2 linked regions of the Saccharomyces cerevisiae S288C genome follow. The protein of the gene in region 1 interacts with the protein of each later gene in a pairwise test. Each region holds a gene or a part of one and is shown on either strand. Other genes may lie near its edges.

What was found.
Region 2: the proteins of YPQ2 (region 1) and PMC1 interact in a protein complementation assay, tested with the Saccharomyces cerevisiae proteins (2 studies listed by BioGRID).

The regions. Positions count from the first base shown.
Region 1 is NC_001136.10:1,171,480-1,184,454, forward strand, and holds YPQ2 (Ypq2p), read left to right. Parts: upstream 1-10,321; coding exon 10,322-11,275; downstream 11,276-12,975. Other genes in the region: PAL1 (Pal1p), read right to left, coding at 1-346; YPS7 (putative aspartic endopeptidase), read right to left, coding at 907-2,697; ATP22 (Atp22p), read right to left, coding at 4,641-6,695; SBE2 (Sbe2p), read left to right, coding at 7,187-9,781; thioredoxin-disulfide reductase TRR1, read left to right, coding at 11,820-12,779. UniProt on the Saccharomyces cerevisiae protein: Amino acid transporter that moves arginine across the vacuolar membrane. Active during nitrogen starvation when it exports stored vacuolar arginine to the cytosol, for use as a nitrogen source.
Region 2 is NC_001139.9:481,333-491,944, reverse strand, and holds PMC1 (calcium-transporting ATPase PMC1), read right to left. Parts: upstream 6,025-10,612; coding exon 2,503-6,024; downstream 1-2,502. Other genes in the region: RPN14 (Rpn14p), read left to right, coding at 1-1,242; Golgi transport complex subunit COG7, read left to right, coding at 1,398-2,237; YGL006W-A (uncharacterized protein), read right to left, coding at 6,412-6,522; BRP1 (Brp1p), read right to left, coding at 8,308-8,685; YGL007C-A (uncharacterized protein), read left to right, coding at 8,918-9,004; H(+)-exporting P2-type ATPase PMA1, read left to right, coding at 9,279-10,612. UniProt on the Saccharomyces cerevisiae protein: This magnesium-dependent enzyme catalyzes the hydrolysis of ATP coupled with the transport of calcium. Transports the calcium to the vacuole and participates in the control of the cytosolic free calcium.

The sequences.
Region 1 (12,975 bases):
TTGCAGAACTCACATCGTCTAGGAAAGGATTCTTTGAGGAAAGAGGTCTCGAAGGTGGTGATAAACTACCACTACTAAAGCTCTCCAAACCAGAATAAAAAGCACCCTGCTGATCTGCGTTTCGCTGGGGTTCATCCTCTGGAATGTTTGGGAATGATAATTGTGAAGAAGTTCTTGTGTTCAATTGTGGCATATCAAATGAATTGGTACGAGATTGGTTTTTCGCCCACTCCTGAAACTGGGAGTCATTTTTATACTGATTAATACTTGAATCAACTGTGGCATTTCTAAACGGGTTATTAACAGAAAATGGCCTACTAGAGGTACTACTGTTTCTATTCTCCATGCTAAATCTTGCGTATATGTATCAATTTTTCTAAAAATGGAAAATGCTGGCAAAGTGTAATGGAACCTACAATGTATCAACAATTAAGCAGTCGAAGATTATGGTAAAATGACGTTACGTGTTCGAAGGGATAGGTCTGCAAAACACTTAAATTCCTCGAATAAAAATAACAATAAAAAGAGCGAGGTAGATCGGATATATTTCGGATTCTACACACTATAAAATACAAATTAGAAATTTTACAGAGTTACCTCCCAAGAAAGAGTATCTTCATTTTCTAGTGAATAACCTATCGCCAGTCACCATGATCTGCTGTTGAACCAACCTCGAGGCGGGAAAAAAAACAAAAAAAAAAGTAACGCGATTTACGCTCCGTGCACGACGATTCTTTGAGATGGCTGCCAATGGTTGATCACAAGTACTAGCTTCTACACAACTGGATAAGAATGACGCATATATACTTTTAAGTATGTTGTTATTAAATCTGCTATATAATGATGTTATACGTGCATTGGTCAAGGAGAAAAAGGTTTTATGTTATGAACTTTTGTTAAAACCATTCAAAGAACAATAAGTATCGAGAATATCGAAAGTAGTAGCAAGGAAGCTATACGAGTTACATGTCCAGCTGGATCTTTGTTAAATGTATAAGGACTGCTCAATCGAACGCCTGCTCCCGAAGCACTGCTGGTTCTATTAGTTGAATTTGACCACTCTTCTGAGGCTGACACAGAAAAGCTGTCGAATTGAGTACTGGATGGTCTAGCACTTGTGCTTGCTCTTGAAGTATCATAGAATGACCGGCCCGCACCTGTAATCACACCGTTTGAGTATGCTGCTGTCAGTTGACCTGGGACAGTGAACATATAGCCTGACCTATAGGATGGATAAAGAGTCAAGTTTCTTGTATTACTACTATTCATCACTTTTGCGTAAGGAATGTAACCAGATTTGATCTTCTTGATGATAGTGGACGCGGTAGTTTCATTTGTCTCTTCAGTAACTGCGTCATCTTCAACCTTCTTTGCCTGTGCAATGGCTATAGTGTTATCCTCTAAGTCCATTGCCATATATATATTTTTTATGAAGGCTTCTCCGAGTATGTTTACTCCAGTATTTGTATTAGCGTATAGTGTTAGAAAACAAGCTTCCTGTCCAGAACTGAAAAACATTGAAGAATTGGTGGATGTATCGTAAGTAGATGATAATAAATCACGTAGGGGTATTTCAATTGTCAATTCTCGAAGCCTGAAACCCAAGGAGACACCCATATCTGCTATAGAACATTGGACTAGCCACCTATCTAGTGATTCCACATAAGTGGCCGCAATTTGAACGGCAATCTGAATAATGGTACTAGTTGGCAGGTAACTGACCGAAGAAGTTGAATCAAGTAAGGCTGGGCTCAGAAAGTCCTTCGAAGTCATATTCAAACTTTGTCCGCTGTTAGACACAATATAAATAGGGCCTAATGGCACAATTGGGTACCCAACACTAACAGCATTACTCACTGGGTCAACGTAAGGAATTAAGTCAAATTTTCCCAGTGTACCGGTAAACAGCGAAGGATCCACCCCTCCAAGAAGTAGCTTCCCACAATTAGATATTGGATCTCTATATGTTTTGTACGTGGAAGTGTCTCCAGCCAACCACAGTGAATATGACGAACTTTCAATGATATCTGCATCTTTCAATAAGGATAGAAAATAAGACTGTTCTGTGTATTGTGAGCTATCGATAGCATTGCCTGGGTTTGTGACCTTCCCGCTTAAACCTAACAAGCCTGAAGTCTTAAAGTTCGAGGACTGAATATCAAAGAAGGAAACGTTTGAAATGGATAGGCTCCCCGAGTTAAATTGTACGTTATCTCGAGTTACCATTAAATCGGTTATCAAAGCGGTCGAGGAATTTTCTGAGGAAACATTTGTAAAATTCATATCGTCTGTCACCAAAGTACAGTTAACAGCTCTACCATCAATGAAAGAAATCTCATATATTTGGCCAGGAGAAACAGGAACAGATGATGTAGAGTCATTCATGAGGTAGCTGGGATGCTTATGATATACACCGGAGTATTCGTTATGACTTTCGCTTGTTCCGGAAACCAGATTTATGTACGGTTGGATAATATCCACTAGCAAACGTTGGCGTTGACCGGGAGTGCCAAATGTGCTATTAACATAGTAGTTTCCTCTACCATCTTTACCCACGGCTAGTACAGGAAACGGCTCCTCCGTTGACGAAGAGGTTCCAGACTTTGCTGTAGTTGTTGTATTTGCAGTACTAGCCGTTGCAAACTCTAACTGAAAAGTTGATATGAGCCACAGATACCATAAAATTAGGCATGTCATAGCAAAAATCAACGGCAAATAAAGCAAGCACGCAGTTACGATACGTTCAAAGATCTTTCCAAGTTCTGTATCCTTCTAGAACGATTAGTCTAATGCAACTGATATGTCCAACATTCTAAATATAACTTATTTTGGTATTAGCTGCATCATTCTACCATGATGAGCTGCGGCGTTCAATATCTCATTTTTTTTTGTTCGGGGTAACGAGGTTCATTGTTGCAAATAGCACGACCAAACGAGCGGTATGATACAAAGCACTGCAAGTCATAGCTGAGGTAAAAAAAAAAAGAATGAAGATCTCATTGTTTGGGTTAAATTACTTTCAAGAGCCTCTTTTTTAGGCTCGGTTGGTTAAAAGAGCAAGAACCGAAACACTAGTGCATCAATTTTTATAACAATTTTGTAATTATGTTGATAATTGGCAGTAAAGTTACAAAATACACACTAATTAAAATATTGAACACTTACAATATAAAGCTGATATCAAAATAAATATCGAACAATAAATACAACTCTCTCCAATATCAATATACTGCCGTCGTTATTTAAAAAATTAGCCCACCTGGGAACATTATAGAAAGAGATTTGTTTTTTGGTCTGGCAATGTGTCATAATCAAGCTCTTTGCAATATACATCCCCAACTCATATATTTGTATACAGGAAGAAGAATCGACCACCATCTATCGACTAGCATATTATCATATACGGTGTAAAAAGATGACATAAAAGATGAGAAACAGGGTAATCCCAACAATTGTCTCAATATTTACCTATTTCTCACATTGTCACCGCTCGAAAGTGCATTTTATATACGTTCTTTTGTGACGACTACTTTTGGCGGGAATCTTAGCGCCTTAAATGCAGTGAAAGATTACTCTTTTGAGTTATTGCCTGAATTTTGTCTGCAAAATTGTTATTATTCAGGAATTTAGAATAATTCAACTCTGGAGGCCTGCGCTGTACTACGGGCTCAAGTAATACCGGAGTGTCTCGACAATCCTAATATAAACAGTCTTAGGGAAGTAACCAGTTGTCAAAACGGTTTATCAGATTAATTCACGGAATGTTACTTATCCTATATATTATATAAAATATGGATCATACTAAATGGTGGAAGCGCGGAACCTTGGATCTAAACTGTTGGAATAAGAATCCACTATCGTCTATCAACTAATAGTTGTACTATCAATATATTATCATATACGGTGTTAAGATGATGACATAAGTTATGAGAAGCTGTCATCGAAGTTAGAGGAAGCTGAAGTGCAAGGATTGATAATGTAATAGGATAATGAAACATATAAAACGGAATGAGGAATAATCGTAATATTAGTATGTAGAAATATAGATTCCATTTAGAGGATTCCAATATCATCGAGGAGAACTTCTAGTATATTCTGTACACCTAATATTATAGCCTTTATCAACAATGGAATCCCAACAAGTCTCTCAAAATACACCCATTTCTCATAAACCAATTGTTCAGGCATTTATACGTTTAGATAGCCCAGCTATAGAAGGCGGAGTTTTACCTCATGTTGCTCAATCTGTTCGTTTTCTTAGGTTTCATATGTGTTCTATGAACGTTCAGGATAATGTATTGTCATGCTGACGTATCCCATTCTGAGATGTAACGTCTGTACAAAACAAAGCTTCAGTAGCTCAGTAGGAAGAGCGTCAGTCTCATAATCTGAAGGTCGAGAGTTCGAACCTCCCCTGGAGCATTTTTGCCGAGCACGGTACTTTTTTTTATTCTCAGTAAATGAAATCCAAGGGCTCATTTATTTGAGAAAGTAAATAAGGTATTAGAGGTAATAAAGTAACCATGGGCCAAGAAGACATATTCATAAACTTATGAAAAAACTTTGTAGGTATTAATAACTTATGGGTAAATTACTATCTATGAATGAATATTTACTATTTACTAGTGCTCATCTGGATATTAATTTAGACTTTTCAACGTCTCTCTTATAATATTTGTACATTTATTAACATCATCATCATTAAATCTAGGCTTGCCATCTTCTTCGAACATATCTTCGTCAGTAAACAGGGTGCTATCAGTAGGTTCTTTAATGTTATTATTTTCCACCAATTCCGTCAGTAAAGTTTCGTCAAAGTTTTTGGGAAACGGCCAGCCTTGGTCTTTTATTATCTGTATCAAAGCCATATGCCTGATTTCAAAGCCCCCGAAGAGTATCTTATTGTACCAGGAGCGTGCTCCTTTTTCGTCTCTCATTTTGACATAATGCATTACCATTGCAGAACAAAATTTAAACGTTAAAGGCACCCCATTTTTATGCATCACCTGTAGCAATTCTGATAGTTCAGCCTGCGTTAATGTATGATTTTTATAGGCTACTATGGAAAAGGGACATAGCGTGGTAGTTAAAACCACTTTTTTGGCGAAAGGTTGAGAATAAAAATCCAGAAGAACATTGTAGGCCAGCCTTGGTTCACGAGCTTGGAATCTAATATAATTTAGGAAAACATTGAGGATTCCGGTATCATTTCTCCAATACCTGTATTTATGAGCTTCCTCGGAAAGAAAACTCTTGTACTTGTAATATAAATCAAGAAGACAATTCTTGAATTGACCACTTTCCAGTGAAACAGAACTCGAAGATAAAAGGCTTCTATACAGTTCAGTTAAAATTGGAACAGTCACTGGTGATCCTATTCGCATTGTGTTCGGTAGAATATTATTTTTGTTCTTCAGCTCTCTTGCTAACGTAGGAGCTGTCAAAGTCGTTGATTTTGAATGATAGAGCCACCCCCAAATCCCTAGGGCATTCAGAATATTAGCAGACGCCTTTGAGCTGTATGATGAGAGGAGATATTTACACACCAATTTCGGGTCACGAAAGGCTTGAAAAGATGCAATTAATTCACCCATTAAAAACTCCTTGAACAATTTATATTTCATCAGTGGGCTGCTTTGTAAGCAGGAAATTACATTGAAAAGCTCCTCCTGCCTATTAGATATTCGGAGCAGATTCAAGTAGTGGTGAATGGGAAAATTCAATATGTGTTCGTTTCCATCAATGTGATTAAGCAATCCTGAGCTTACAATGAATTTCAGTTCCTCTTGAAAGGTTTTGATGAATAACTCAACATTTCCACTTTTCAAAAGGTAATAAAGTAAGGTATTGTTGAACTTGACATAACGCAGGTTCTTTTGCTTTGCTCCATCTTTACCAGAATAACAGTGCTGTTCCAACTTCTGTAGTAGAGCTTGAATAAATACTTTAATGAACCTAAAATTTTTCGCCTTAACAAGGCCATTTACTAGAGCGATTAAGCTGTCAAATGTATGCAACTTCAGAACTTTTTCCATTATAAATTTTATGTTTGTCTCATCATGCAAAAATATTTGGAACGTGGCTAACTGCCTCTCCATCTCAGTTCCTTTTATCAGCCTATTGGTAAATCTCGTACAGTAGTTAGAAGTAAAGAGAAGAACATCACTTTTCAAAAGAAAAAGATAGTGATTAAAAGATTCTGATTTTGGAATATGATACCAGAACCATCTGTGGACCTCACCTGGTAGATAAAATCCAATTTTTCTTGCCACCTCTGGGTATAACTCGTGTTGATGCAAAATGATATCATATAAAAGTTTCTTCTTTTCATTTTCTGAGCAATTATTTATATGCAGGGCATTTCGTAGAGATTCAAAAAAAGAGGCGTATTCAGTTACTCCAAAAGTCTCACTTAATACAGTTTTCAATTGTCGGAGCTCGTATAAACGCTTCTGAACATTTTTCGAAGATCCGCTCTTCCTAGAACATGGCACCTGTCGTTCAAAATCGCCAAACTGCAAAGGTTCTGAACGATTTGATTTAATTTTCAATGGACAGTTTTTCGTAGATAAATGGCGCAGATTTGTAATAGGTAGAATTGTGTATGTCCCTGCGCTACCCATATGTTTAAACAGCGGTGAAGTGACCATTTGAGCCAAAGGCTGGGAATAGACACGGCATATACATTTTAACATGCCAATAAGAACATTAAAGTGAACGCTTGGAAGATTTGAAAGCCCATTCTTGCCAGTACGCCAATAAAGTGTGTCGCGCAGAATAGATCTTCATGTAATTCCTTTTTCCCTTTTATGCAATCTATAATGTTAATCAGCGTAGATCACTATATACGCTTTTTTTTTTTTTTTTCAGCTCCGATTAGAGAGCAAAAGAGATGTAACATCGATCCTGCTATAATTAGAATACAAGTGTTGATCTTTAATTGTACTGTTTCTGCGAAAGCTATCGAGCATTTGGCTGTATTCCACTGTCCATTGTATTTTTAACTCTCCTTTTTATCATTCTGAAACATAGAGCTGTTTTGACAAAATTCAGTTTTTTCTCAATTAGTGCTTTCATTCATACGTTCGTTACAAGCTTTGAATTTTAACTTTATTTTCGGGCTTCCACCTTTGCTTCATTATTTTACTTCAGCTCTTTAGCTTTCTGTGACATTCAATTTTATTGTATGACAGCACGTCGTTTGATTAATATAGTTCCTAATACGTCTAAGCTAGACCCTTTAAAGGAGGAGGACTCAACGCATCTGAAACAAAATCAACCTAAGAAGTTTTCCACAAAGGAGTTGATGCTTTCAGAATATACCGAACGCAAAAGTTGCAGCCTTCCGTTGTCTAAATCCCGATCAGGCAGTAGTGCATCCAGTAGCACTACAGGTTCGAACGGAAAGAATATTGGAACAAGACGCCCTAGCTCCAACCTAGATTTCAATTTCGCTAGCCAAGATGTTGTTAAAAATGTATTAGGTAATAATAATCCACACGTACCCACAGCGAAGTGCATTAGGCCAATATCAGATGATTCTATAGGTACATCGAGCACAGAGATATTTTCTTCATCGCACTCAAATACGACATCTGATTCTTTATGTACATCAGATATAAGCTCAGAAGAGGGTGAAATAGCAAACAGTAAGATGGAGGATAACTGCTTCTTCAAAAGTATGAGAGAAGCTGACCATAGAAGCAATATTACGCCCTTAAAGAAAAGCCGACCGGGATCAATACTACAGAAAACACGTACAGCAAGTAGCGCTGATAAAACAATCTGCTCAATGAGTACCATAACTACATGCATTCCATCTCGTCAAAATTCGGTGTCAACTCCTAAACTCTCCAGGACAGTAGGGCTGCCTGGATCGAGCAATACAACCAACAGTATAGCCGCATCACAAACTTCATTCATAAGCGAGAATGACTCTCCTCTTAAACATCATTGCATGAGTACCGCAACTATCCAAGAACCAAAACTCATGCCGATCACAAAAACGCCGTATGTGCATTCCAATAGTACTTCTGTAATATTACCATATAAAACAACCCAACTTACTCCTTCTCAACGTTACCGTTTAAGGAAAGAGCAAAATGACCAATCTTTGCGTAAAGCCATAAAAATGAAAGAAAAATTTTATGAAGATCAAGACGTTAACTTGGAACTTCAAGAGGGCGATGTCGACGGCTCGTTAATTTGGAACATTCCAATGGCATCTTTATCGACCAGTTCTTTTTTAACATTATCTAAGTTTAATAGAAAAGAAATGAGTTTAGATTCAGCGCGGGGGGATGAAGAGATATTAATACAGGAGAACAATTGCGAAGGCAAACAACACTCATCTTCGGCTCTCTGTGTGGACAAAACTTTCCATCAGGTTCATAGTACTAGAAAACATACATCAAATTCAAGTAACACTTTAAAAGAATCATGTCTGGACTATAAGGAGCTTCCGCCAACATGCATTCCTGGTATATCTCCTGTGTCTGATTCACAGTACATCCAGGATACAATGAAAAATCTCTCCCAAATATACCTGCATAGTTCCGAAAAAATCTCCAAAAGTATTCTTTCTGGTCGTTCAAGATCTGTACAGAGTTTACCACTGGAATTTAAAGAAGCCAGTAGTCAGGGAATGGAAGACCTAATGCTAGTTTCAGAGGACAAACTAAAGGCCGTAAGTCATTTCCGTCCGAGTTGGCTCCCGCCCAAGGATTTCAAAGAGAGGAAATTGCAAGATAAACAAATCTACAAAAATATCGACTTAGCATCAATGGAAGAGTTGCAAAAAAATAAAGAACGTGACGAAAAAGCCAAAAAGAATGAGCAGAATAAGGTCAAATTCCAGCATTTACTGGACCGAGGCATTACTCGTAACTCGTCATTAAGTGAATTAAAGAAAATTATTTGGGAAACACCTTTGATATCTAAAGTACGGCTTCAAATATATAGTCAACTTCTACAAAGTGACAATTGCTTGATAACAAAATGTTTTATTGAATCATTTGAGGAAGTAATGCAGCTACTCAACAAAATGGATTTTCCCAAAGATAAAGAATTTGAAATAAGACAGCTTATTGAACACGATGTACAGGAAAAGGTTTTTTATAAAAATGGAACAGATAAGCAAGTGGTTTCTGACTTGATGCTATTACTGCAACTGAAATCTATATCTCAACAAGGTTTGGTTACTGGTGATGAGATGCTATTCTACCATTTTTTAACTGATCAATCTTTTGGGACTTTGAAGGAAACATGGGAAATGGTCAACTTGATACAGATGACGTGCTTCAGTGAAATTTGCAAGGAAAAATACGATTCAAGAATATTAAATCCCAGAGGAATTGTTGCCCATCTTTTACGAAAAGATGAGTTCAAAAATGAATTCAATGGCGGATGTTTGAATAGCAATACATGGTGGAACATATTGCAAAGAATGGACCATAAACTTTTTATGTGGGTAATGGATGTAATTATCGTTCATAATGGCCAAAACTTTGCAAACTACCCCGTAAAAATGGAAATATTCAAAGACAAAGTATGGGAATACTATAGATCTAAGAAGGTTATTGTAAATTATAAGATTTTGGTTTCACTAACAGTTAACGTATTGTTAAACTACCACTTCGGATATGATAATCTGAAACATTTATCAGATTTGGATGATAAGCATTTTTGTATTCCACTGTATACGGAGGATAGTATCGAAGAGGAAAACCTCAATAATATTTTCACAAAGTGGTGGTTGCACTACTACCGAAAATTACGTTAGCGTGTATGTGGCACGTACTAAAAGTTTGGTGACCAGACTATCTCTTCTTAAGTTCATTTTCACTCTGAAACTTATAAATGCATACATACAGAAATTACTTTCGATTAATATAATAATATATTTTTAATAAACAATGAACTAATGCCCTTATTGTGTTTTGTTATTAACCTTTTCATCACCATTTTTTTTTGCTAGCTTCTACGGCATTCACTTACGTGCTGCAAAATTTCGCAGCATGGAAGAAATTGTTCGCGAAGAAAAAAGATTTCGCTCAGTGATTTGTAGTGACAATAGGTACCAGTGTTATCACTAAGTATATCTTTTAGTATATCTCTTCGCTTGAGGAGGGATCAAAAAAAAACAAACGTAAACGTGCACATAAACGTCAAGTACTTTTTGCAGGCATTAATATTCGTCTCCAACAAAGACAAATAAAGAAGCAATCTTTTCATTACCTTAAGCCAGTATCTATTGATATCAATCGATAAGGTTCGTTGTTATCGGTGCTAAAAATTATAAAGTGAAAATAAGAATCTTTTCATGTCGTGCTCAAACGGCATCTGGCCTACTGTATCTAATTTGTGCGGATCATTATCCTTCTTCACCTCTGTTATTTCATTGTTTCCACAAATAATTGAGACTTATCGAGATAAATCTGTCGATGGGCTATCGCCATATTTTTTGCTGGCTTGGTTATGTGGGGATATTACCTCGCTGATAGGGGCAAAGCTAACAGGGCAATTGTTATTTCAGATACTTTTAGCAATTTATTTTCTATTGAATGATTCTTTTGTATGTGGTCAATATTATTACTATGGCGTGCTGCATGAAAATAAATTGGCGACTGTCGGCCATGAGCCTAAACCTCTTCTTCCCGAACTGGTTGAAAATGGTGAGCTTTTGAGGGAGGAAGAGGACATGATACAAGGTGGTAGCAGTGCAGAAAGCCCTAGAAGCAGTAGAAGAAGGTCTGCCATTACAGCAGCCTTGGCTATAGCTCATACTATAAGTACAGCTAGCGCATATCCGCTAAATGTAGGCTCCACCCAATCACAAGTGGGGCCTCCCGGAGATGGTAAAAACAGCCAGCTGGGTACAATTTTATCTTGGATTGGCGCTTCCTTCTACGTAGGCGCACGTATCCCACAACTAATCAAGAATTACAATAGAAAGTCTACAGACGGCTTATCTCCCTTCCTATTTGCTACTACACTACTCTGCAATATCACGTATAATTTGAGCATCTTCACAAGCTGTAGATTTTTAGATAATCAGAACAAGAGGGAATTCATCGTGAATGAGTTGCCCTTTATATTTGGAAGTGCTGGAACAATTGCGTTTGATTTGATATACTTCTACCAATACTATATCCTTTATGCAACTGATATGCAACTACGTGAACTGGAAAGAGAACTATACAGTCCTGAAGAAGACAGTGCAGCGCAACTAGTGACAGAACGTACATCACTGTTGTCTGGTGAAACGCAAACATAGTTTTCCCTACGGAGTACTACCATTTATATTTAAACAATGCACTCTGCTCTTGGGATAGTCCTTGCGAGACCCTTTTTTCCCAATAGGAATACTACGTTCGTACTCTGTGTAAAAGTACCCAACTATAGTTAGCGCCAGTTTTACGTAAAACCGTCTATGTCTTGTTTGCATTCGCAACAGCTACAAACACATATAGTTTGTCACACTAATATTAATAATGAAAGTTATTATGTATTCACTGTGAACGCTTCAGTATACAGTACGGCAGTAAGTGTTTCATTCTGTTCTGGATTAATAATCTTTCACTTTGCCTAGCCATTTGGGGGCGGGTTTTGGCTGGGTTAGCTTCTCCTTAGTCATGGAGAAAAAAAATCGCCCGCAAGTATCTCGAAAAAGGAAAAAATGCCCACGCGTATAAGAGTGGACCCAACTGCTCGAGGTTTCAAGAGCTTGTAGATTAATTTCTGTAGTTCAGTTATACTTGCCTACAAGTGCTATACAGCAAATAGCGAACAGTACGAAAGTAAACATCATATTATCAATAATGGTTCACAACAAAGTTACTATCATTGGTTCAGGTCCAGCTGCACACACCGCCGCCATCTATTTGGCCAGGGCAGAAATCAAGCCAATCCTATATGAAGGTATGATGGCGAACGGTATTGCTGCCGGTGGCCAGCTAACCACCACTACAGAAATCGAAAACTTCCCAGGTTTCCCAGATGGTCTAACAGGTAGCGAACTGATGGACAGAATGAGAGAACAATCCACGAAGTTTGGCACTGAAATTATCACGGAAACAGTTTCCAAAGTTGATCTGTCTTCCAAACCATTCAAGCTATGGACCGAATTTAACGAAGACGCAGAACCTGTGACGACTGACGCTATAATCTTGGCCACAGGCGCTTCTGCTAAGAGAATGCATTTGCCGGGCGAGGAAACCTACTGGCAAAAAGGTATTTCTGCCTGTGCCGTGTGTGATGGTGCCGTCCCCATTTTCAGAAACAAGCCATTGGCCGTCATTGGTGGTGGTGACTCTGCATGTGAAGAAGCTCAGTTCTTGACCAAGTACGGCTCAAAAGTGTTTATGCTTGTCAGAAAAGACCATTTGCGTGCTTCTACCATTATGCAAAAGCGTGCTGAGAAGAACGAAAAAATTGAAATCCTTTACAACACTGTTGCGCTAGAAGCTAAGGGGGATGGTAAATTATTGAATGCCTTGAGGATTAAGAACACTAAAAAGAATGAAGAAACCGATTTGCCAGTCAGCGGTTTATTTTATGCAATTGGCCACACTCCAGCAACAAAGATTGTCGCTGGCCAAGTCGACACTGATGAAGCGGGCTACATTAAAACTGTCCCAGGCAGCTCATTAACCTCCGTTCCAGGATTTTTCGCTGCTGGTGATGTTCAGGATTCTAAATACAGACAAGCTATTACTTCTGCTGGCTCTGGTTGTATGGCCGCTTTGGATGCTGAGAAATACTTAACTTCCCTAGAATAGATGAATTTTCCATTATAAAATAGATACACTCAAATTTTTGTATACTTATCCAACAAATCGTTACTTTCTCCTTTTCTTTAATAAAAAGCAAACCATGAATTTTATTTCTTTTCCCCATTATTAGAGAAAGCCAATACATAATCTACATATATTGCGTGTCTGAATTAAACTTTTTAGACACATGACATAGGCCATC
Region 2 (10,612 bases), on another chromosome or scaffold:
ATCACAGTTGCTCATATCCAGTATGATTTTAAAGCTGTTCTGGAAGAAAATGATGAAAATGACGATGAATTTTACATCAATGTTGACAAAAACCTAAATGAAATCAAGGAGCATAAGATAGTAGTGTTAGGAAATAGCAGGGGTGTAGATGCAGGCAAAGGAAATACATTTGAAAAGGTTGGCTCCCACTTATACAAGGCGCGGTTGGATGGACATGATTTTTTATTCAATACTATCATAAGAGATGGTTCAAAGATGCTCAAGAGGGCGGATTATACTGCCGTAGACACAGCTAAACTTCAGATGAGACGGTTCATATTAGGCACTACAGAAGGCGATATTAAAGTATTGGATTCAAATTTCAACCTTCAAAGAGAAATTGACCAAGCTCACGTTAGTGAAATAACAAAACTAAAGTTTTTTCCAAGCGGTGAAGCTTTGATATCTAGTTCACAGGATATGCAATTAAAGATCTGGTCAGTAAAAGACGGCTCAAATCCTCGCACGTTAATTGGACACAGGGCGACAGTCACAGATATTGCCATAATAGACCGAGGAAGGAATGTGCTCTCTGCCTCTTTGGATGGTACAATTCGCCTTTGGGAGTGCGGCACAGGAACGACAATTCACACGTTTAACAGAAAAGAAAACCCGCATGATGGTGTTAACAGCATAGCGCTGTTCGTAGGGACAGACAGACAATTACATGAAATTTCTACTTCCAAGAAAAATAATCTAGAGTTTGGAACATATGGAAAATATGTGATTGCTGGTCACGTTTCTGGTGTTATTACTGTACATAATGTATTTTCCAAAGAGCAAACTATTCAACTCCCAAGCAAGTTCACATGTTCATGTAATTCATTGACAGTCGATGGCAATAATGCAAACTATATTTATGCCGGATATGAAAATGGAATGCTAGCTCAATGGGATCTAAGATCACCGGAATGCCCAGTTGGTGAGTTTTTAATTAATGAAGGCACCCCAATAAACAATGTCTACTTTGCAGCCGGAGCCTTATTTGTATCTTCTGGATTCGACACCAGTATTAAGCTTGACATTATTTCAGACCCAGAAAGTGAACGGCCCGCTATTGAATTTGAGACGCCCACCTTTTTAGTTTCCAATGACGATGAGGTCAGCCAATTCTGTTACGTTTCTGATGATGAATCAAATGGGGAGGTGCTTGAAGTTGGAAAAAACAACTTCTGCGCTTTGTATAACTTAAGTAATCCTTAACCTCTTTCGTACTAGTAACTTTTTCAAAAAAGTTCACTTCGCTGCATGAGCTTGGCGTAATGCGCTTTGAGGGTGATAATGCATTTTATTTCCATATGAAATATGTCTAAAATAGAACAATTCACTAAGAACAAGAAGGCCAAACTAAGCAGAATATGGTAGAGTTGACAATTACGGGTGATGATGATGATATATTGAGTATGTTTTTTGATGAGGAGTTCGTTCCCCATGCATTCGTTGATATACTCTTATCAAATGCCTTAAACGAAGATCAGATTCAAACGCAATCAGTATCCTCATTGCTATTAACCAGGTTGGATTTTTACACAAAGAACCTTACAAAAGAGTTGGAAAGCACCATATGGAATTTGGATAAATTATCTCAAACGTTACCAAGAACTTGGGCATCTTCTAGGTATCACAAAGAAGCAGAACAGAACGATTCCTCATTGTATTCTACTGAATCCTTAAAATCATCGAAGCTTGAATATTACTTAGATACGTTGGCAAGTGCTGTAAGAGCATTAGAAACAGGAATGCATAATGTAACTGAGAAACTAAGCGATCTAGATAACGAAAATAATCGCAATACCAATGTGAGGCAACAACTGCAAAGTTTAATGTTGATTAAGGAGAGAATTGAAAAAGTGGTATATTACCTGGAACAAGTTAGGACCGTTACGAATATTTCGACAGTTAGAGAAAATAATACAACCAGCACGGGGACAGATCTTTCGATAACAGATTTTAGAACATCATTGAAAGCATTAGAGGATACAATCGATGAATCTTTAAGCTCTGCGATTGATAACGAGGCTAAAGATGAAACAAACAAGGATTTGATTGGGAGAATTGATTCACTTTCTGAACTGAAATGTCTGTTTAAAGGCCTAGATAAGTTCTTTGCTGAGTATAGCAACTTTTCGGAGAGCATAAAATCAAAAGCACAAAGTTATTTATCAACCAAGAATATTGACGATGGTATGATATCATAATCGGTGATAAAAACAAAAAATTTGCAATTAACAAAAGAAATTTATAGCATGTTTAAATTCTTATTTCTTTTTACCATTTCCAGTCCTTTTGGTCCACTTGTAATGCATAAAAGGGTAAAAAGGAATTTGTTTAGGAGGACATGCTATTTCAGATAGTTTCTTTTTATTGATTATATAATATAGTGTACAATTTTGAAAATATAACTATTACACACATCTTTTCATTTGGTCACTTACATTTGTATAAACATATAGAGCGCGTCTATTAATAAAAGGCGGTGGACTCTGGACTATCAGATTCCTCCAACAGCGCTTCTTCATCGTCGTGTTTTCCAGTATGGTTTTTTCTGAGGAACTCGAGTCCAAATACGTACTTGAATCTTTGAACGAAAGCAGCCGGAAATACCTTCACTGCTACTTCATCGGGGCAGATTCTCACTAGCACCCCCATGATTAGAGACAACATACCACACAGTACCGCGGTTATCCACATTGATTTGGTTTGTCTGGCAATAGAAAATGGTGCGCCACCAAAAAACATGATTAAAACTTGACAGCTGCCAATGATCGCCATGATCGTGAGAAAATAATAGTTTCTACCCAAGTCTTGGAAGAAATTCAAATTGGCGGCAGAAATCCTGCCTCTCCAGTTTGATATACCATCACCTTCATCTAATTTTCTCGATACTAACATGGTAAAAAATTGCAACCAAACAAAAGTGTTGAATGTCATGGCATTCAGTTGCTGCTGTTGGTGACTTGTTATTTCATCTTCATGTTTCTTGAAGAATAACTCTGGCCCGTAAAAATGCAAAATGAAAGTAACTATCAACTGCAATGTAGCTTGTGATAGAATCATTTTCCAAGTTGACACAGAAATCAAAGAAGTTGAGCGGCCCCTAGGTTTTCTGTCCATGATATTTGGATCGGGTTTATCAGTGGCTAAAGCTAAAGCTGCTAGAGTATCCATGATTAGATTGATCCATAACAGTTGGACCGCCGTCAGTACTGATGTTTCATCACTAGATGCAACGGATGAAACGAACGTTAAAATCACTGCGGTGATATTAACAATTAATTGAAACTGTATGAACTTTTTTATGGAGACTGAAACACATCTTCCCCACTTAATAGCGTTGACAATAGCTGAGAAATCATCAGTCATCAAAATAATGTCAGAAGCCTCTCTGGCAACCTCCGTACCGGAAATACCCATTGAGAAACCAACATCAGCTAGCTTTAAAGCTGGAGCATCGTTCGTACCATCGCCAGTGACCGCAACAACATCTCCCATCCCCTTCAATGTTTCTACTAATAACCTTTTATCCTCAGGCGAAGACCTTGCTAAGACCCTTAAATTTGGCAGGATTCTTATACGTTCGTTTTTCGTTAACTTTCTGAATTCAGTGCCTTCCATTGCAGAATAAGCCTCTGAACTAATATCAGTAGAAAGAATCGCACAATTCCTCGCGATTGCTTTTGCTGTTAATATATTGTCACCAGTAACCATACGCACAGTTACACCAGCACGTTGGCACTGTTGTACTGACTCCCTAACGCCTGCACGTAAAGGGTCTTGAATCCCAAGTAAACCATCTAGAATTAAGCCCTTTTGACTGTTAAATAGCAAGTCAAGAGCAGCTATATTTGGTGAGTCTTTATCACGCAGCTGTTCAGGGGGCCAGCTATCACATTCGCAGAAATCTTTGTGGGCAACACTTATGGCTCTGAGAGCATCGGACGCAAGATTTTTGATTTCATCATCAGTTTCTTTTTTATTGTCCTCATTGATTTCTTCCAAAGTATCATCTGAATTCCTCTTGTACGAACAATTCTTGGAAACAATTTCTGCTGCACCTTTAATGAAAAACCTGTAAAATGGTTTTTTATTTTTGCCTTCTTTGTACTTTACCACTAAGCCGGCCCATTTACGAGAACTTTCAAACGGAATTGTTTGAACAACTTTTTCGATATTAAACTTTTCCATCGGTTGATCTCTCAAATATTGCAATTCTCCCGGTTGTAATCCTAATGATAATCTTGCCAAACTGAGTAAGGCTGTTTCCGTTTTAGAGCCAATAAAGGGTTCTTGCCTACCCTTGTTGACATTTTTGAATAATTGATCCTCGTCATCTTCCCTGTTGCCTTTTTTAAAAAACGATAATCTAGATTTACACTTATCTAAAAAACTCAAATTTTTTGACATATTTTTACTACCATTTGTATTTTTATCGTTTTTCTTATAATCTCTGTTTTCGAAGGCGGTAGAATTCAGGACAATATTGGCTAATAAATCATTTCTCAAGGATGACGAACAATTTTCTTCAAAAACTTTCTTAGAATTCAGCTTCCTTTGTTCGCTAACGGGCAACGATTTACTATCATCAAATTTAGAATTGCCCGGGAAGCCACGAACGACAGTCATGACATTTTCTGTCAAAGTGCCAGTCTTATCAGAGCACACTGCAGTAGCAGATCCCATCGTTTCACAGCTTCTTAAAACCCGTACTAAATTACCGTCTTTTGTCATTCTTGTTGTTGCAAACGCTAAGGCCAAAGTTACAGCTAATGGTAAACCTTCCGGAACAGCCACCACAATAACCGTGATAGATGTGATAAAAATGTTCATAAATTTAGAACCCTTTTGAGCGGGATCTAGATCATGGAACCTGCCATCCTCAGGTATTATGTAAAATAAGTACCTAGTGAAAAGGACCAAGAAAAGAATTATAGCAGACACGCAACCGTAAACGGATATATTATCAGCCAATTGGCTCAAATGTAACTGTAATGGAGTACTTTCAGGTTCGGCATTTAATGAAGTCATGGTTTGACCGTAAACTGAGTTTATACCCACGGACGTGATGACACCCCTGCCCAAGCCAGAGAGAATTCTGGAACCTGAAATCAACATACAATCAGCAATCTTGTTACCGTCTTCGTTAACGTCACCTATATCTAATGGTTTGCTATGGTTATGACTATCGATAGAATTAAATTTTTTGAAATCTCTTAATGAGTTATCCACCGGAAATTTCTGTATTGTGTTAGATTCACCAGTGATGGATGATTCATCTGCCTCACACTTCCCTGATATCATAACACAATCAGCGGGGACAACATCACCGGTTTGTAATGAAATGACATCACCGACTAAAACGTGGTGAATGGAAATTAATATTTCCTGATCATTTCTTATGACTATAATTTTACGGTTTTCCTTCTTTTTATTTAGCTTTGCAAATTGCAACTCCTTCTGGTAATCGTTAGCGGCACTCACTAGAACTACCACAAAGACCGCAATCATGATAGCAACCCCTTCAATCCAGTCAACTTGCTTAATTTTATTTCCTTCAGGATCATACTGTGGAGGTTGCATCCATAGTTCGTATAGACCTAAAACAAAGGAAACAACAGCGGCGACTGTCAGTAATTGCATTGTTTTGTCATTAAAAGCAGCCCATACTAATTGTAAAAAAGACTTTGGTATTCTTTCAGGAAGTGAATTATCGCCATAATTTTTATACCGGTTTGTCTTTCGATAATTTGATATTTCTGGAAGAGAAATGCCTGCATTTTTATCTGTTTTCAAGTATTTGAAGAGGCTGTTAGACTCATATCCAAATAATCTGACAAATGATCTTATTGATTTAGGGTTATGAAGATCCGAAAGTTGACTTTTTGATAATTTGAAATTATCGTAGACTCCGTTCTCATTTCCCGTATACGATGGTTTGTTATTTTCATTATTCGCTAGTAAAGCAGAATTTTCGTCTTGTCTAGACATTATTTTTTTTGTTACGCACACAGTTTTTTTTTTTTTAGAACCACTTTTCTAAACTTTATTTGTTCAAGTTTTATTTCTTTAATTCAATGTCGTATATATGTGATACAATTCTCTTAATACACTTAGTTTTTACTGGAGGCGCATGAGTTTTTTGACGTTTTCTTAAGCCTTTCTATTGAATGAAAATTACCAGAAAAGCCCCTTCTTCCTCAAATTTATGAAAAAATGTTTATTCTTAACCTAAGCCTTCTCAATTGAATCGTGCCAACCTGACTAAAATGTAGTTTGGGGAAGTGAAAAAATCTGAAGAGATTATTTAATTTTTCGTTAAGCCTGCAATTTATTTTGGTAATAATTGCTAGAAAGAAATCGAATATTTAACGCAATTCAAATAAAGCCTTTCCTTGGGGGGGGGCTGATACTATTTGAATGTTTTTGGAAGGCGCCCATTAAATGCAATGCCAAGTGGCGATGATAATGAATTATGAAGATTAGCATTTGTTTAAAAAGCGTGGAGGGCGCTTCTAGGGCCTGAGCCTCCTAATTTTCTTTTCCCCCTGACAAATGATGGAGAAGCTTCTTTGCCGGGTAAAAACCCTTTTTTTTTATCTTTTCTGCGGGCGGATAAAGCTGTTAGTGCCACATGTTTCTATACAAACTGTATTAAAGTAAAAAAATTAATAGACAATTTAGGCCCCTCAAATGGGTAAAATAGAACATATATCAGTATGCACAGCTCACTATTTTAAAAGCGGCAGGCTTGGAGCTGTAGGACCACACTACTGCGACAAAAAAAGATAAAGTTGTGTTTTATTTATGTTTTGCCGTAAGATCGATACTTTTCTTATTCTCATCAAGAAAACACAAACTGCCAAGAACTAAGAAAAGAAGAGCCGTAAACAATGCTTGTAAACCGAAGTATGAAAAGAAAAACTTGATAATTAAATCATCCCCTTTGGCTCAAATATTTATTTTGTATTATTCATGCTTGATTAGTTTAAGAGTGAACTTTACTATCTTAATTTTATTTTAGCCTTTTCAGCTTATGGCACAATAGTGAAAACAAGATCATGTTAAGTTCTGTACCAGAAGAGAGAACCGATAAATAGTTTAATAAGCAGATCAATGCCAAGAATAAGATAAAACAACTATGGAGACTGATGTAAATATACTTGAAGCCGGGCAATAATATAAGCACCGTGAGCCGATTCTCCTCGATCCTACACTGCACCATATAACGAATGGTCTTGGACTATGGAAGGCAGTAACCAACAACAGAAAAGAGAGATTAATTAGAAAAAGACATTTCTCGAGAGAAAAAAAGTAAAGACCTTATCGTACAACTGTTACTGACATTTTTATTTTAAGAAGCTAAACCCTTATTATTAGCGCGCCCAAGTAGGCGCAAAACTAGAGAAGTCGCAGATGCATCCACCCACTTTTTGCCTTATTTTTCCTTAATTTCAGAAATATAGTTAAAATGAAAAACAAGGACAAGAAAAGAACGGGAAAAAGAAAAGGGGGATTAGCAAACAAAGAAAAGTCCAATAAAATGATTACAGACAGCATTGGATGCGATGAGATGGCAACCAGCGAGATGAGAGCATAGGATTTTCATCCTAGCTGCTTTAGGGAAGACGCACAAAACTTTGTTATGTTTGTAGTAAATATAGAAAAGAAAACAAAAAAGTGCTCGGACGAATCCGGTAGAGCTGTGTCTAGCCTCAATAAGTTTGCCGCATTTGGTAAATCAAAACTGTTTTTCTCTCCGTCATTTGTTTTGAAGCTTGTTCTGTTAGTTTAGGGAAATAGAAAAAAAAAAAAAGGGAAAAAGAAAGAAATCATATGCCCAATGGAGTACGAGAATTGGGGAAAAAGCCTCCATCGGGTTTTTAAACGGGCGTATACATGCTTACCACACTCCCGTAAGCAAGAACAAAGAATTTATCTTGATAAACTGCGTAATAAGTCAATCAATTGCTCTATATACGCGCATATACGTAAAACACAGAATCACATTTTAGTCAGGCCCAAGCCGTATAGGGCGAAAAAGCCCGCGCTTATCAAGTCATCGTAACGAATCAGATCTTTCCAACTGCTATCGCATACGTAAGAGAATTGAAATATTTCTCGGGTACGATACGACATTTTTTCTTTACATTTCTTTACTAAACCCGACGGCACGGGAAAGAAGATGAGACTCGGAACGGAAGCTAGAAGAAAAAGGAAGGACACAGAGATTTTCCGAGATTAACTCAGCTTTGCTAAAGTGCAAAAAGTCGTTTACGTCACCATCGCTGACGGGGAAAAAACAAAACAAGCTTCCTGAAACGGAGAAACATAAACAGGCATTGCTGGGATCACCCATACATCACTCTGTTTTGCCTGACCTTTTCCGGTAATTTGAAAACAAACCCGGTCTCGAAGCGGAGATCCGGCGATAATTACCGCAGAAATAAACCCATACACGAGACGTAGAACCAGCCGCACATGGCCGGAGAAACTCCTGCGAGAATTTCGTAAACTCGCGCGCATTGCATCTGTATTTCCTAATGCGGCACTTCCAGGCCTCGAGACCTCTGACATGCTTTTGACAGGAATAGACATTTTCAGAATGTTATCCATATGCCTTTCGGGTTTTTTTCCTTCCTTTTCCATCATGAAAAATCTCTCGAGACCGTTTATCCATTGCTTTTTTGTTGTCTTTTTCCCTCGTTCACAGAAAGTCTGAAGAAGCTATAGTAGAACTATGAGCTTTTTTTGTTTCTGTTTTCCTTTTTTTTTTTTTTACCTCTGTGGAAATTGTTACTCTCACACTCTTTAGTTCGTTTGTTTGTTTTGTTTATTCCAATTATGACCGGTGACGAAACGTGGTCGATGGTGGGTACCGCTTATGCTCCCCTCCATTAGTTTCGATTATATAAAAAGGCCAAATATTGTATTATTTTCAAATGTCCTATCATTATCGTCTAACATCTAATTTCTCTTAAATTTTTTCTCTTTCTTTCCTATAACACCAATAGTGAAAATCTTTTTTTCTTCTATATCTACAAAAACTTTTTTTTTCTATCAACCTCGTTGATAAATTTTTTCTTTAACAATCGTTAATAATTAATTAATTGGAAAATAACCATTTTTTCTCTCTTTTATACACACATTCAAAAGAAAGAAAAAAAATATACCCCAGCTAGTTAAAGAAAATCATTGAAAAGAATAAGAAGATAAGAAAGATTTAATTATCAAACAATATCAATATGACTGATACATCATCCTCTTCATCATCCTCTTCAGCATCTTCTGTTTCAGCTCATCAGCCAACTCAAGAAAAGCCTGCTAAGACTTACGATGACGCTGCATCTGAATCTTCTGACGATGACGATATCGATGCTTTAATCGAAGAACTACAATCTAATCACGGTGTCGACGACGAAGACAGTGATAACGATGGTCCAGTTGCCGCCGGTGAAGCTAGACCAGTTCCAGAAGAATATTTACAAACTGACCCATCTTACGGTTTAACTTCCGATGAAGTTTTGAAAAGAAGAAAGAAGTACGGTTTGAATCAAATGGCTGACGAAAAAGAATCTTTAGTCGTTAAGTTCGTTATGTTTTTCGTCGGTCCAATTCAATTCGTTATGGAAGCCGCTGCTATTTTGGCTGCCGGTTTGTCCGATTGGGTCGATTTCGGTGTTATCTGTGGTTTGTTAATGTTAAACGCTGGTGTTGGTTTCGTTCAAGAATTCCAAGCTGGTTCTATTGTCGATGAATTGAAAAAGACTTTGGCTAACACTGCTGTTGTTATCAGAGACGGTCAATTGGTTGAAATTCCAGCCAACGAAGTCGTCCCAGGTGATATTTTGCAATTGGAAGATGGTACTGTTATCCCAACTGATGGTCGTATTGTCACTGAAGACTGTTTCTTGCAAATCGATCAATCTGCTATTACTGGTGAATCTTTGGCTGTCGACAAACATTACGGTGACCAAACTTTCTCTTCTTCCACTGTTAAGAGAGGTGAAGGTTTCATGGTTGTTACCGCTACCGGTGACAACACTTTCGTTGGTAGAGCTGCTGCTTTGGTTAACAAAGCCGCTGGTGGTCAAGGTCATTTCACTGAAGTTTTGAACGGTATTGGTATTATCTTATTGGTTTTGGTCATTGCCACTTTGTTGTTGGTCTGGACTGCTTGTTTCTACAGAACCAACGGTATTGTTAGAATCTTGAGATACACTCTAGGTATTACTATTATTGGTGTCCCAGTCGGTTTGCCAGCTGTCGTTACCACCACTATGGCCGTCGGTGCTGCTTACTTGGCTAAGAAACAAGCCATTGTTCAAAAGTTGTCTGCTATTGAATCCTTGGCTGGTGTCGAAATCTTGTGTTCCGACAAAACCGGTACTTTGACCAAGAACAAGTTGTCCTTGCACGAACCATACACTGTTGAAGGTGTTTCTCCAGACGACTTGATGTTGACTGCTTGTTTGGCTGCTTCCAGAAAGAAGAAGGGTTTGGATGCTATTGATAAGGCTTTCTTGAAGTCTTTGAAGCAATATCCAAAGGCTAAGGACGCTTTGACCAAGTACAAGGT